3 linked regions of the Arabidopsis thaliana genome follow. The protein of the gene in region 1 interacts with the protein of each later gene in a pairwise test. Each region holds a gene or a part of one and is shown in the gene's direction. Other genes may lie near its edges.

Evidence for each region. The genes of interacting proteins can lie anywhere in the genome.
Region 2: the proteins of TRX5 (region 1) and AT4G22830 interact in a protein complementation assay, tested with the Arabidopsis thaliana proteins (one large-scale study listed by BioGRID).
Region 3: the proteins of TRX5 (region 1) and Cand3 interact in a protein complementation assay, tested with the Arabidopsis thaliana proteins (one large-scale study listed by BioGRID).

What each region holds. Positions count from the first base shown.
Region 1 is NC_003070.9:17,074,121-17,078,562, reverse strand, and holds TRX5 (thioredoxin H-type 5), read left to right. Parts: upstream 1-2,145; 5' UTR 2,146-2,306; coding exon 2,307-2,393; intron 2,394-3,029; coding exon 3,030-3,299; 3' UTR 3,300-3,621; downstream 3,622-4,442. Other genes in the region: AT1G45150 (alpha-1,6-mannosyl-glycoprotein 2-beta-N-acetylglucosaminyltransferase), read left to right, coding at 331-504, 583-705, 784-948.
Region 2 is NC_003075.7:11,989,350-11,993,707, reverse strand, and holds AT4G22830 (YCF49-like protein), read left to right. Parts: upstream 1-2,279; 5' UTR 2,280-2,300; coding exon 2,301-2,406; coding exon of another isoform or gene 2,407-2,464; coding exon 2,465-2,702; intron 2,703-2,973; coding exon 2,974-3,052; intron 3,053-3,126; coding exon 3,127-3,195; intron 3,196-3,298; coding exon 3,299-3,412; 3' UTR 3,413-3,644; downstream 3,645-4,358. Other genes in the region: AT4G22840 (Sodium Bile acid symporter family), read left to right, coding at 32-194, 303-388, 652-776, 874-1,067, 1,145-1,397, 1,495-1,748, 1,842-1,924, 2,001-2,072.
Region 3 is NC_003074.8:21,836,991-21,843,477, forward strand, and holds Cand3 (tobamovirus multiplication protein), read left to right. Parts: upstream 1-2,194; 5' UTR 2,195-2,343; coding exon 2,344-2,466; intron 2,467-2,944; coding exon of another isoform or gene 2,945-2,972; coding exon 2,973-3,023; exon of another isoform or gene 3,024-3,132; coding exon 3,133-3,166; intron 3,167-3,257; coding exon 3,258-3,344; intron 3,345-3,436; coding exon 3,437-3,488; intron 3,489-3,588; coding exon 3,589-3,772; intron 3,773-3,857; coding exon 3,858-3,953; intron 3,954-4,073; coding exon 4,074-4,134; intron 4,135-4,277; coding exon 4,278-4,342; intron 4,343-4,434; coding exon 4,435-4,509; intron 4,510-4,598; coding exon 4,599-4,674; intron 4,675-4,751; coding exon 4,752-4,927; intron 4,928-5,334; coding exon of another isoform or gene 5,335-5,358; exon of another isoform or gene 5,359-5,417; coding exon 5,418-5,459; 3' UTR 5,460-5,773; downstream 5,774-6,487. Other genes in the region: AT3G59080 (Eukaryotic aspartyl protease family protein), read left to right, coding at 1-1,429; GSL11 (glucan synthase-like 11), read left to right, coding at 6,417-6,487.

The sequences.
Region 1 (4,442 bases):
ATCCATTGACCCAAGTCTATGTTATTCTCAATGAGGTTTGAAATCGTCTGGTCCATACACCTGAAGTATACTTAACTGAATAGAAATAAAGACTAGAGTTTGGTCAATATAGTTAATTAGTTATCATAAGCTTTGAAAACGTTTGCACGTGTACATGAATACATCTAGCTTTGGTAGTAATGGAATCATCATATGTCGATCAAAGTACTGTAGTTATGGAATGGTTAAATTTGATTCAAGGTCATCTTAATGATGTGCTCATTAGTGGTCCTGTATGTGTTAGCATTTTAGCAACAAGAATCATAAAGAGGACTTTTCTTGCTGGTGCAGGAATGGTGGACATACATATGCCTTGGACCTTCAGATCCTCACCCAAATTGGCATCTGGGGATGCGTGGTACACAGCAACGGGCAGTGATGTGGCGTGTGTGGAAAGAAGGTGGAACCGGGTTCTTGTACTGGGGTGCAAATTGCTATGAGAAGGCAACGGTTCCAAGCGCCGAGGTTATTTTCTTATCCTTAGTTCTGTTGTAAATGTTTCTTGATCGATTGCTTCATGATATTATATAACCAAATGAATAGGTAAAGTTTAGGCGCGGTCTTCCTCCTGGTGATGGAGTTCTTTACTACCCCGGTGAAGTTTTCTCATCTTCTTCAGAGCCAGTTGCTTCACTTAGGCTAGAGCGCCTTCTTAGTGGCTTACAGGTACGTCAACTTTATAGTTTTACCAATCAGATAACAACGAAAAACTGTTCCAGTTGGCTTATTTGGAGAATGAATCAGGATTATGAGTACTTGAAGCTGTATGAGTCAAAATACGGAAGAGAGGAAGCGATGGGGCTATTGGAGAAGACAGGGGTGTACACGGGGCCGGAGCGCTACACTTTGGAACATAGACCGATCGATGTATTGCGAGGAGAAGTGTACAACACATGTAGACCATCTTGAGTAACCAGATCGTTTAGTATCTATAAACACTCTCGGTTAGCCCTAAGTTAATAATAAAAGAACATAACAAGAAAACTCTAACAATGTCTAGATTACCAGTGAAAAAGGTTAATTAGTATGAAAATAATAAAATAGATAGATTTGCTTTGTACTTCTGATTCTTTAATTTGTTGGGAAATACTGTATCTGAAAAAGCTCATTTTATGTGGTGCTAGGTTGATATCATTCATCATAGTCACGTATGAATGGAAGGGCACAAGACATAATCATCCAACAAAAAAGGATATAAAACCTACACTGACTAAAAATTAGGAAAAAATGTTATTTAATCCCCAACTTTCAAAAAATGGCCATTTTATTCGTCAACTTCGTATGCGGTCGTTTAAAACATGAACTAAACGTTGACTAACTTTTAAAACATGATCATTCGTCGACCAGGCCAAAATAGACATGATGTTATCAGTTATTAACGGAACTTCTAACGTCTGTTATCATCTGTTAACGACTTTATTAGTCAAGTTTTAAATTGTGGTCATTTTAAACATCAACTTGGCCATTTAAAACATGAACTAAACGTTGACTACCATTTAAGATATGAACAATTCGTTGACCTGACCAAAATAGACATGTTTTTATCAGTAATTAATAGAACCTAGAAACCCGTTATTATCCGTTAGTGACTGTTAATCAGTCTAAAACGACGTCGTTTGAGAATAAAATTAGTGTCAAAGCGTAAACACACATACAGCCAGCTCTCGGTTCTATCATTAGTGAAAGAACATTACTAGAATTTGATTTATTAGAGGAATAAAGAAGATTGATCAAAAACAGCTTGCATTATTATTCAAAACATAAATCTAGCATATTATAGATAATATTTTTCTTATTGTCTTAGATAAAGTTTCCATTCAACTTTGCACGTCTAAAAGCTCGGAATAGTCCACAAATTATCACATAGAAAAAAACTTATATTCGTGCCGACAAAAACAAACGTTACTTTTTTATATCTGCAAGGACGAGAAAAGAACGGATAAACTCATATATCGTGCACACAAAACATGCGTGTCTTCTACATCTAGAACTGTCGTTACTCGTTACCATCATCACGCCGTTGACCTAGACTCATGCCTATTCTTTAATCGTTTAATATAAACCGTTGGATCCCTTCACACTCCTACGCGTCAAGATCGAACTCATTTTAGGAAAATAATTAAAAAAAAAGACCGAGAAGAGGTAGAGGTATAGGTGGTCAAGTCTTGCCTATAAAAGCTGATCCCAACAAGAATAATTCTTTCATTCACCAAAAAAAACTCATCAATCAAACAAAACTCTTAAAAGCTTAAGAACAAATAATAAAAATGGCCGGTGAAGGAGAAGTGATTGCTTGCCATACCCTCGAAGTTTGGAACGAGAAGGTCAAAGACGCCAATGAATCCAAGAAACTGGTACTTTTCTCTTCTTCTCCTCTCTAGGGTTTCTTCTTCTATTTGATTTGATTACTTTACTTAGGGTTTTCAGTTTTCTTGATCTAGTGGTAAACTGGTAATTCATGTTAGATACAAAACCTTGGTTTTTATCATGTTCATGTACCATGTCTTGATTTGGTCTGAAATTTGATAGAAACTGGTATTTTCTCGTCCTGTCTAGGGTTTTTTTTGTTTTTTAATTTGAGTTGGTTACGTTACTTAGGGTTTAGGGCTTTCTTGGTTAGTTAGCTTAATGGTGAATGATGTTCGAGAAACGGTTGCTTTTGATCCCGTTCTTGTCCCATATCTTGCTCTGGTGGTCCCAAATTGATAGAAGCTAGAACTTTCTCTTGTCCTGTCTAGGGTTTTGTTCAATTTGATTTGATTACTTTACTTAGGGATTACGGTTCGTCTTGATTAGCTACCTTAGTGGTGAATGATAATTGTATCCTGATATGGTCTGAAATTATAGAAACTTTACTTTCTCTTGTTATGTCCAGGGCTTTTTTTCAATTTGATTTGATTACGTTATGGTTTAGGGTTTTCTTGATTAGTTAGTTTAGTGGTGAATGATGTTTGTGTTCTGATTTGTTCTGAAATTTTGATTGAAACCAGATTGTGATAGACTTCACAGCATCATGGTGTCCACCTTGCCGTTTCATTGCACCAGTGTTTGCAGAGATGGCTAAGAAGTTCACTAATGTTGTCTTCTTCAAGATCGATGTTGATGAATTGCAAGCTGTTGCTCAGGAATTCAAAGTTGAGGCAATGCCTACTTTTGTTTTCATGAAAGAAGGCAACATCATTGATCGTGTTGTCGGTGCTGCGAAAGATGAGATCAATGAGAAGCTGATGAAGCATGGTGGTCTTGTAGCTTCTGCTTGATTGATTTCAGTTTCTAACTCTTTGCATCATAATAAAGTTTTTATCTTTCGTATGAAATAAAAGTGATGCATTGCTACTGCACATTTGTATTATAACTATGTTGATTTTTCGATTACTGGTTTGTTATCTCTTGGCTTCAACCACGAACACGAAAATAGCGACACACATTAAGACTGGTTTTAAACACGATAAGAGAGCGTAGGTTGAAAATATGTAGTTATGAACAGAGCAGTGATTAGTTCTCTGATTTCCACTATAAATGTGTGAAAATGTTATGTAATACTATGGAAAAATCACTTTCAACAGCTCATATTTCTCCATCTACGTCACGTCTATATCTCTTTAAGTTCCTTGAAGTTTTATCCAACGTTTCTCTGTTTTTATCCTTGAACAAGAACTGAAACAGAGAAAACAAGAGAAGATGAAGCTGACCTGTAGATTCAAACATTTCCCTATGCTCTTTAGATCCAAAGCCAGCCGCTCGTTCCCTCTAGGCGCGTCAGAGTAGGCCTGTCGATGGGACTAGCATAGACACATAGTGACTCTACTTGAACAAGCGTCAGACTGCATACAGCAGGTTAGAGCTGGTAGGACTTGGTTAGTGATCCACTACAAAAATAATCCATATCAATAGCACACGAGGATAGATCAGTTTTCCCTACTGCAATAAAAGATGAGTTCATAGTTCATATTAAAAATGAGTTCATAGATGCGGCACAGAGAGATGATTCGAGAACAAGTGAGGAGATAACGGATTTAACAATACGGTTGAAGGAGGCTTATATAGATGAAGAACAATATTGGTACCAGAAAAGTAGGAGTTTATGGATGAAGGTTGGGGATAATAACTCAAAATATTTCCATGCTCTAACAAAACAGAGACGGGCTAGGAATCGGATCATAGGACTTCATGATGAAAATGGAAAATGGTTTGCAGAGGATAAAGATGTCCAACATATAGCGGTGTCTTATTTTGAGACTTTGTTTAATAAGTCGAATCCCCAGAATATTGCGGAATCTTTATCAGAGGTTAAAACTTTAATAACGGATCAAATAAATGACTTCTTAACGACACCTGCTACAGAAGATGAGGTAAGAGCGGCTTTGTTTTTGATGCACCCGGAAAAAGCACCAGGGCCTGAT
Region 2 (4,358 bases), on another chromosome or scaffold:
TCTGAAAGATCACAAAGTCCAAAGAAAAAAAATGAGCGTGATCACAACTCCAATAGAGACCCTGCACCTAAAGTCAACACTTCGTCTTCTACCACGAGCTGTTTATCGCAGTCAACGGATTCAAGTTTTCCCGCCCAACATCTTCTCGAACACTTCTCTGAGTTCTCCACTTCGCATCGACCCAATCTCTCAAGGTTTGTTCATCTTACTCTCATCGATCCTCAGGCGTTTATGCTTGTTGGGTACCTGCAAAATTTACACTTTCTTCTCTCATGGTTTTCTTCAACCTACTATATACACAGTTGGCGGATCGAGGAATTTGTGGCGTAGATATGCATCTGATAATTTCTCGGAGATGGGTTTGGATCCTGGAGCTGATCCATTCAAGGTGTGCGCTATGGGATCTTTCCTTTTCCATTCTATGTTATGTTGGGTTTGAATAGTCTTCTCAAAATGTGTCATCTTTAATGTCAAAATGTGATTTTGCACTATTGAAGACTTGTTAATTATCCTACTTTTGAATCTGATTAGCTAAAAATCATCCCTGGATCACAGTTTTGCTACTTTGTTCTTCGTTTGCTGATGATTTCAGTTGTTAAGAATTTTATGTTACTTCCGAGAACCAACATGAATCTAGTAAGTGGCTTGCAGGTTATTGAGAAGCCTTCTATAGTGGATAGAATGAAGAAAGCAAACTCAATTCTTCCTCATGTAGTGTTGGCGAGTACAATATTAGCTCTTATCTATCCTCCTTCTTTCACTTGGTTTACGTCGAGGTTCTTCCCATTGGAACAAGGTCAAATTGATCTAAGACTTTGAATTGTAGACATGAGGTTTGCTAAAAAGCTCTTCTTTACTCTCCTGTTATTTTAGGTACTTTGTGCCCGCTTTAGGTTTTTTGATGTTTGCGGTTGGTATCAATTCAAACGAGAAAGACTTTCTTGAAGCTTTCAAAAGACCAAAAGCTATCCTCCTCGGTTATGTTGGACAATATCTCGTAAAGCCTGTCCTAGGTTTCATCTTTGGCCTAGCTGCTGTTTCTCTTTTCCAACTCCCAACTCCAATTGGTAAAAGCTCCCTGTCTCTCATCATTCAAGACTCTTAACCTATCTCTCACATTAACCAATCTTTCTCAATCTCTCAGGTGCTGGAATCATGTTGGTATCATGTGTTAGTGGAGCTCAGTTGTCAAACTATGCGACATTCCTAACTGATCCAGCATTGGCACCTCTTAGCATCGTCATGACATCTCTATCAACCGCTACTGCGGTTCTTGTCACACCGATGCTATCACTCCTGCTCATTGGGAAGAAACTACCCGTTGATGTAAAAGGAATGATATCCAGCATTCTTCAGGTTGTAATCGCACCAATCGCTGCAGGATTGCTACTAAACAAGTGAGAGATATAGCTACAAGCCTACAACTAGAAATAACCACAAGTTGTTTCTCTAAGTATAACCATTTTTATCTCCTTTTTGTTTCTTCTTTTACAGGTTGTTCCCAAAAGTATCAAATGCAATCCGACCATTTCTCCCGATTCTATCGGTTCTCGACACAGCTTGCTGCGTTGGAGCACCACTCGCATTGAACATAAACTCGGTCATGTCTCCATTTGGAGCCACCATATTGTTACTAGTAACAATGTTTCATCTCTCAGCTTTCCTCGCTGGATACTTCCTTACCGGTTCTGTCTTTAGAAACGCTCCAGACGCTAAAGCCATGCAAAGAACATTGTCCTATGAAACTGGTACTAACTCTTTATGGTATTGGAAAATCTTATCAAGAAAGTACAATTTGGTTTAAAGATTTGAGAAGAGAAATGTGTTTGTGAATATATCAGGAATGCAGAGTAGCCTTTTGGCTCTAGCGCTTGCTACTAAGTTCTTTCAAGATCCTCTTGTGGGGATTCCTCCTGCTATATCTGTAAGTCTCATATCCTTTTGACATAGCATAATCTTTTATTGATGATGATTATAGAGATTTTTGTTTTGTTTTGCAGACGGTGGTAATGTCATTGATGGGGTTCACTCTCGTTTTGATCTGGTCTAAGGAAAAGAGTAACACATTTTAACATTTTGATTTTGTTTCACTCCACATTTTGATTATACATATATATATGTACTACAAATAATTGGAAAATTCTTCTTGTAATATAAATAATTCAATACAGAATTTGAGATTTTTAATGTACTAATCTCCATTTTGTCTTTATATTTTTCTCTTCAACTTCAAAGATGGGAAGTAATTAGAAAAACCAGAATTTGTTAATAAACCGATTAGTTTAATTTTGTTTGTGAAAATGATAAAAGACGGTTCAACAGCAAACCGGTTTAAAATTAAACCAGAACTTGGGAATTGGAAATTGGAGAAAAATCTCAGCCATGGCGATTGCTTCAACAGCCACCGTTCTTTTCTGCTGCGCCAAACCCAATTTCCGGCGAATTCATTCTGAGAGCCGTCCAGCTTCTTCTCTCACCACCTCTAACGAACCTGTAATTCGGATCCGAAGCCGCAGTTTAATTCATGACCCGGTTGCGCTGTCGGGTCTTATCGGAACCAGTTTGGTTGCGGCTGCTTTCATCACGGCGGGACCAGATGCTACTGCTTTGGCGGCGGTGGTGGATTCTCTTCAGCTAAGCGAACCGTCCAATGCGTTGTCTTTACCCACTTGGGCCGTTCATGTTTCCAGCGTTGTCGAATGGTTCTCTTCTTCTTCCTTTGCTTTATTGATTGAAATTCTCACTTAGAAAACATTTGACATTTGATCTATAGTGACACAAGAGAGTATTTGATGTTGTGGGTTTTTCGAGTTTTTGATATCATTATGAGAGAAGCTTCATCTACATATAAAGTCTCGATCTTTCACTCACAATGTAGATTAAGCTTCTCTCATTATGGTTTGAAATGCAGTTGGAGCTAACAAACAAGAAAAATGTAATGTCTTTCTAATTCTGGTGTTGTTTTTACTAAAGGATTACGGCGATGGCATTGGTATGGAAGTATGGAGAAAGAAAGGGTTATGAGTCTTGGAAAGGTCTCTCATGGGGAATGGTGAGAAAGCTCTAAGCCGTTTTCCTAGATTACATGATTTCATTTTTCTGAGCTTTTTGGTTGTTCTTAATCAGGTACCTTTGCTTGGTGGAGCTCTCTGTGCATGCACATGGCATTTCTTCTACAACGATGAATCTCTTGAGGTCAAGAAACTCTTGACTCCAACTTTTAGCTATAAGTCTGTGATATGTTTCGTTTGCTTCTTCACTCCTACTTAATGGTGTAATTGTTGGACTGCATTATCAGGTGTTGGTCGCTCTTCAGGCAGCACTAACGGTGTTTGGTAATATCACTCTCTGCATTGCTGCCTTTCGGATCAACAAGTTGTCATCCAAAATTGAAGTCTCTGAAAAGCCATGATGGCTAAACCGATCAATATGAGCAAAGTATAATTGAATTATTAATTGGAGGATCACTAAGATTCTTTTCCCCTTTGAAAAGTTCTATGAGATTCTATGTCAACGATTTAAGTATATTATATAGTCTTTATATGAGGAAGATCCATGTGCATTCAACCTATATCAGTAACCCAAGTTACACAGATTTAGTCTTATCCAGAATCTAGAGTTTGAATTAAATTATAAATTTTGGTTACGTGATCATAAGAACTTCTCCATTTTTGTATAAATGAGATCAAGAAAACAGAAGAAAGAAAGTGCCAAAACTGATAACGTTTTTCCCAGTGTGGCAAGTTTGGCTAAAATTATAAATAAAAGTAGACATCAAAATGCAGATATTGAGATTATCTTAACTCAAAATGCAGATATTGAACGTTTAACATTATCTGAACTAATTATCTTGTTTTGTTATATCATCTTAAATCGAGACCATATATAGTAAAACATGCCAACAAACTCAATCTAGTTAGTTGAAGAAAATCATTGTGTATAACTTACATCTGTCACACACAAAATTGAATCTTTACGTGGGACAGTACGACAATTTTTTTTTTTTTTAAATCCGAATCTCTTGAAGTTAAAAACTATAAGCAAAAATGTGGGGTGGTTGAGCTATTTCTGGTTAGGATCTTAATAAGAAGAAAAAAAATGAACGTAAGTACATAAGTTTAAAATAATAAAATTTTCGAATTATTAAAATAAGATACCAAGTTCCACTTAAATCTTGACAACGCGTTAATCGTGTTTAGACCAAGCCAGGGCGTGATGAAGAAGGCATATCTTATCTTTATCTTCCCCAAAAGTCCACCAATAATACCATCTTAATCATTACTTAAACAACCCCAAAGGCCATTTATACATTTAAATTTGTTAATTTTACCTATTAGTTTGTACTCCTATTATGGGAA
Region 3 (6,487 bases), on another chromosome or scaffold:
CGGCTTCTCTTCCCCTGAGAAAGAACCCACCAAGGAACGGACCGGAGAAAACAAGACGGTGAAGTTTCACTTAAAGCGCCGGGAGACTACGACTACAGAGAAGGCAACAACAAATTCAGTTCTTGAGCTTCAAATCCGAGATCTCACAAGAATTCAGACGCTTCACAAAAGAGTTTTGGAGAAGAACAACCAAAACACTGTTTCGCAGAAGCAGAAGAAGAATGATAAAGAAGTTGTTACCACTACTCCGGTGGCTTCTTCCGTGGAGGAGCAGGCTGGTCAATTGGTGGCAACACTTGAGTCTGGTATGACTCTCGGTTCTGGCGAGTACTTCATGGACGTGTTGGTTGGTTCGCCACCAAAACACTTCTCCTTGATTCTTGATACAGGGAGTGACTTAAACTGGATTCAATGCTTGCCTTGCTACGACTGTTTCCAGCAAAACGGTGCGTTTTATGACCCTAAAGCCTCTGCTTCTTACAAGAACATAACTTGCAATGACCAAAGATGCAACCTAGTCTCATCACCTGACCCTCCAATGCCCTGCAAATCAGATAACCAATCATGCCCTTACTACTACTGGTATGGGGATAGCTCCAACACTACCGGAGATTTTGCAGTAGAGACTTTCACGGTTAACCTCACGACAAATGGAGGGAGCTCGGAGTTGTATAATGTTGAAAATATGATGTTCGGTTGCGGTCATTGGAACCGAGGTCTCTTCCATGGTGCTGCAGGCTTGCTTGGTTTAGGAAGAGGCCCGCTTTCGTTTTCCTCTCAGCTTCAGTCTCTTTATGGTCATTCCTTCTCTTATTGCCTTGTCGACAGAAACAGCGATACCAACGTTAGTAGCAAACTGATTTTCGGAGAAGACAAGGATTTGTTAAGTCACCCGAATCTGAACTTCACTTCTTTTGTCGCTGGGAAAGAAAACCTCGTCGACACATTTTACTACGTACAAATCAAATCCATTCTAGTCGCGGGAGAAGTTCTAAACATACCTGAAGAAACATGGAATATCTCATCAGATGGAGCTGGAGGGACGATCATTGATTCAGGTACAACCTTAAGTTACTTCGCAGAACCTGCATATGAATTCATCAAGAACAAGATTGCTGAGAAAGCTAAAGGGAAGTATCCGGTCTATAGAGATTTTCCAATCCTAGATCCTTGCTTCAACGTCTCTGGCATTCATAACGTTCAGCTGCCAGAGCTTGGGATTGCTTTTGCAGATGGCGCTGTTTGGAACTTCCCGACAGAGAATTCTTTCATATGGTTGAATGAGGATTTGGTTTGCTTGGCAATGCTAGGAACTCCCAAATCAGCATTTTCAATCATTGGAAACTACCAGCAGCAGAATTTTCATATACTCTATGATACAAAGAGGTCTAGGCTCGGGTATGCACCTACAAAGTGTGCAGATATATAATCTTTCTTGTCGATTTTTAAGTCCATCAAAGCAACTGAACACACAATAAGAACAGATTCATTTTTTTCCCTTTAGATTTTTTCATTCTTTAGGATATTCCTTCAAACATGTAATGTATTTGCTGTAGAACAAAGATCATACCAAACTAATGTACTTATTCAAATTCATTTCTGAATACAAAGTGATTTAATTTTGCTTGCTACATGCATTTTCTCAAACTCTATAGTCTACCATCAATGACAAGTAAATTTGTAGTCACTGGAATTGTCAAAGTTTGATTAGTAATCCCTGAATTGTTTGTGAGTTTAGGACTCACTTTGGTAAGGTTTTAAGGCAAAGGAGTTGTCAAATCATCGTCTTTGTTGATCCAATTTGAAAGAAATGCAGAAAATCTAGAGAAATTGGAAACTAAAGAAGCTTGAGTCTATTGCAGAACACAAACTATACAAAAGAAATCGGATTATGTACCTGAGCATGGTCGGAGAAGAGAGTTGCAGAAAAGAGGTGTCTCTGTTTTGCAAAAATAACTCGTTTAGTTCTGATTTTTACAAAAAACCCTCATTTTACATCTTCTAACAATAATTAATAATTAATTTTAGTTAAAGAGATATTGATTACTTAATAATTCTTTTAAGCCAAGAGTAATTAATTAATTAATTTATGGCAGTAATTGTTGTATATTCTAGTGTGCCGTACCACTTGTAGCAATTAAATTTAGTAGATAGTATATTGTGTTGTCCAGGAAATATATAAATATAAAAAATAATTTTTATTTTTGTCTCTCAGACCAGACCCAACCCATCTCCTACAACCATCTGTCTCGGTGGTGTTCTTTGATCCTCTCTCTCTTACAAACCTAAAATCTAGGCATTCGATCTCTTGGGGAGGATCGAGAAGAAAAGAGCGGATTCACGATGAAGATCTTAGCGACTCTTTTCGAATCAACCAAGGATAAATGCTATGCTCCTAGCTTCATCGCCGTCAATCTCTGTTTGGCTTTTATCGATGCCGCTCTTGCTTTCATCGCATTCCTTCAGGTTCTGATTCTTGGTTCTTCTGATTTCCTGAAAGAAAAAGAAAAAATCAGTCTTGATTTGTGAATGCTAGATTGTGTGTGACCGTTAAGGCCTGTTCGGACAGGTGAAGCATTGTGCTTATTGATTAAACGAGATGTGAGATTATTGATTCTTGATGTTGAATTTAATGAATTGGTTGATTTCAGTCTTTAGAGTTGTGTGTCTGTTGTTCATGTGGTTGACCATTAAGTTTAAAGGTCAACTCTATGAATAACTCACGGAGCTGAAGTGTGTTTGTGTAGAATGAGAGATTTGGATTCAGGGAATCTGAATATGATATGAATTATTAGCATTAGAAAGTAGAATCTTTTTTTCTTTTTTAAGTGCTATGTGTGTAGATTAAGATGTTCTTTTCAAAGGTTCCTATGTAGTTTTAGACGGTGAAGTAATAAAAAAAAAGTCTTATTCTCTTCTTTTTTTGTGGGGTTTGGCTTATAAGATTTATCTTGGCTGCCTACTTCTTTCAGTTATCTCGATTTCACAGGCGGAATAAACAAGTTGGATGGACTCGGCAAAAAGTATTTCTTCTCATCCCAACCAATTTAGGCTCTATGTTATTGTTATATGGTTACAGTTATTGTTACTTTTCATGGCGTGTATCTGACACATCCATCATGAAAATTGCAGGTACTTCATCTTATGATTGCTTCTTCAAACACTGGTAAATCCTCAGTCATTTGTTGTTCAGGAACAATTATAATTGGGGGAAGTTTTAGCCAGTGAGTAAGGTCTCTATTCGTATATATTGGCAGGTTCTGTTATTTATTTCGTGGCTGCGGTTATAGCGACTTGCACAAGGTGGCATCATTGGTCCAACGCATTAGGTTTTCTACTCATGGGTAAATATTTCATTCCTTTGTGAAGGTTTGTGTATGTTTTTCATTGATTTGTCTTATAGTTAATTCCCTGATGAATCAAATTGTACTTGCAGCCTTTCCCAAAATTCTGTTTCTGGCAACTTTTCTCCTGCTTCTCTCTTTCTGGTATGTATATTCTCAATACTCTGATCATATTGTGTTGTCCCTGATTATTTTATCTTAATAATGATCTGAGATAAGACAATGATGCTTCTTCATGTTATAGGGTAGATGTTTGCCATCAGGGAAATGGAGAGGAGGATGATGATGATGATGAAGAAAATAGCATCCAACAAGTGTTGCTTGAAAAAAGCAAGAGCAAGCCAGGTTCTTCGAATGCAAGTGATCGTAGAAAGTGTTGCTCTTTCCATGGTATTCATGTTGGAACCCGGCAGAAGTTTGTTGTTGCGGTATGGGATACTTTCAGTTTTGTGCATTAACCTCTAGCCAAGTCATTTCTATGATCTTTATAAAAATGTTTATCTTTTTTGCTAGGCAATTATTCTTGTGTTCATCTTAATGATATCATTTGCAATCCTTATCTGGATCGCTTCCGGAAAGAATCCTATGAATTCTTCATTATTGGCTGAGGTATGTGGTATTCCTCTGCACATTGATATTTCCTCTTTCACTAAGTTCTTAAGCTCGAGAAATAGAAGACTTTTGTCTATATTTTTTCTGGTTTTATGATAAACTCACTTCCTTATATAGGTGTATGTCGATATTTTTGCTGCAATAATCCTAATCACTGGAGGAGGAATCTGCTTCTATGGTAAGTGATTTCTTAAGTTCTTTTCTGGTTTCAGCTATTCATATTTTTCTTCTAGCAATTCGTGAGATGTTTTGGTCAGTGGTTTACTGGCTTATTGCTATGATTGAACAGCGTATATTCACAAACTCTTTTATGTTCTTTAGGCCTGCGTCTGCTCTTTAATCTAAGAAAGGTGCGGTCTGAACAAGTTTCATCAGAGATGCGAAAGGTAACTAATGATTCTTTGGCTCAACAAGCTTTTCTTTCTTTGCACATGTCAGTCGAATCCTTACCCTGAAAGTACATTTTAACCATTTATAGGTATCGGGTCTAGCAGGAGTCTCAGTTGTTTGCTTCACTGTTAGCTCTTTAATCGCTCTTCTCACACACATTCCAGTAAGTCATTATCACTCAAAAAAGTATGTCTGTAAACCGAAACCTAACATTCGTCGATACATTTAACCAAAACCAATCTTTGATCTCAGCTCTTTTATCATTGGAACCCAAGCAAATTACACGGCATCAAAGCATTGGTTCTTCTGATCATATACTATTTCATAGGTGAAGATTTTTTTCTTTCGTTTTGTTGTTTTGAAGACCTTCAAATGCAGGGTTACTGATAAGAACGCTTTTTAAAGGTTCCACCGTCCCATTGGCTTTCGTTTTATGGGTTTTGCGGGAGTTACCCCCTCAAAACATTGTGAGTAGGCAAGAAGACACCAGAAGGATTACTTATGTCAACTATGAAACTGTTCCAAGGCAACCTCAAGGTCCTCAACAAGACTGGGCCTCCGCCACAGTGTCGAAAAATCAGGTATACAATTCTCTTGATGAACATCTAAATTAGGAAGTCATGTCTGACACATACAAGGAGTTTTATAGTAAGCTGTAAATGCATGCATCAGATAAACTAGGGGTGGGAATATAAACCGAAGCAAACCACAATATTTATAGCTAACTAACTCTATTTAGATAAGAAAAACTCAAACCGTATGCTCACTTTTAAGATAAACGCAATGTTGAGAGCATTCGAGAAAGGTTTGAACGAATTGCGGTCTGAACATGAATACATAGTTGAAACACTACGAAAAATCCTCAAATGAGAAAGAAGTTTTCATTCTATTAGTGACTTCTGAGGTTATTTCAGAGTTTCCTTTTTATCGACCATAGATTGTTTAGGGAGGTCACTTAACAGTTTTTGGTTCGGAAACGACGGCGCAGGTGTCTAAAGCAAGTCCTATATGAACCAAACAATCATCATAATCATTGACCTGAAGCAAACATCCGCCAATCTTCTTTTGTAGTTACCGGGAAAAAGCCTCGTGGGATTGCAGAATGGTTCTTAGGCCCAATGTGGTGTGTTGTGGTGGAGTGAATGAAAGTGGAAACAAGCTCGTTTTCTTCTCTCTGAGTCGCCTTGGAATACAAAAATTTGTTTATAAGATAGAAATGGAGGTTTGAATCTGAGAAAGCTGTCTGTAAATATTAACTTTTGATTGCAATTTATAGTTTAGCATCATGTGTTGGGGGGACTTGTGGATGGATATAAAATGTGTTCCAAGGAAGATATAATTTTGTCTTCCTTTCTAAACAGCGTCGTTTAAGCTGCTTTGTTATCATTTACATATACGACGACGCATCATTCTGGTTTTAAAGATGGCATATTACGTTTGAGATTAAACGCCACCGTTTTCGAAAGATAGCACGGGCATTATACGATGTCGTATTGCTTCCTCTTTCGAAAATTTGTTAGCGCGATTTTGTTAAACTTTTAGCGCCATTTTTTTTCACATTAAAAATTTGAGACCCCGAAACGGTATCGTTTGTTGGATGTTATCCTAAAATTGACGGATCTGATATGAAAAAAAAAATCCTTAAAAAAACCGTTTGAGAACTTTTTGGATATTTGTGGTCTTCTCTTTTCGTCTTTCTTCTCCACTGTCACCTTCCTCGCTAAGCAAAAGAATTTAGAGAGAGCTTCGTACTATGCCCAGAGAAAAAAGCAAAAAGCGAGAGCCAAAAAGATAAGAAAGATCAAAAGATGAAAAAGCTTAGACGTAAAAAAGCAGAAATATATGTATATAGAATTAACAAGTCTCTCGAAGAAAACCCTTTAGCCATCTTTATCAATCTCTTTTCTTTTGCGTTCTCTATAAAGTTGGTATAAAAGGAGATCAATTAACAAATATGTTAATCGATTACTTTGATTTCAGTGAGATTTTTGATTTCACGAATAAATTATTGGGTTTTTGTGGAGGAGGAGAGGGTGGTAGTAGTAATTATAGTTTCGATTCACGGTGGATATGGAAGCTAGTTCGAGTGGAACGGCGGAGTTGCCGCGGTCTCTTTCTCGGAGAGCTCCGTCGCGTGCGAC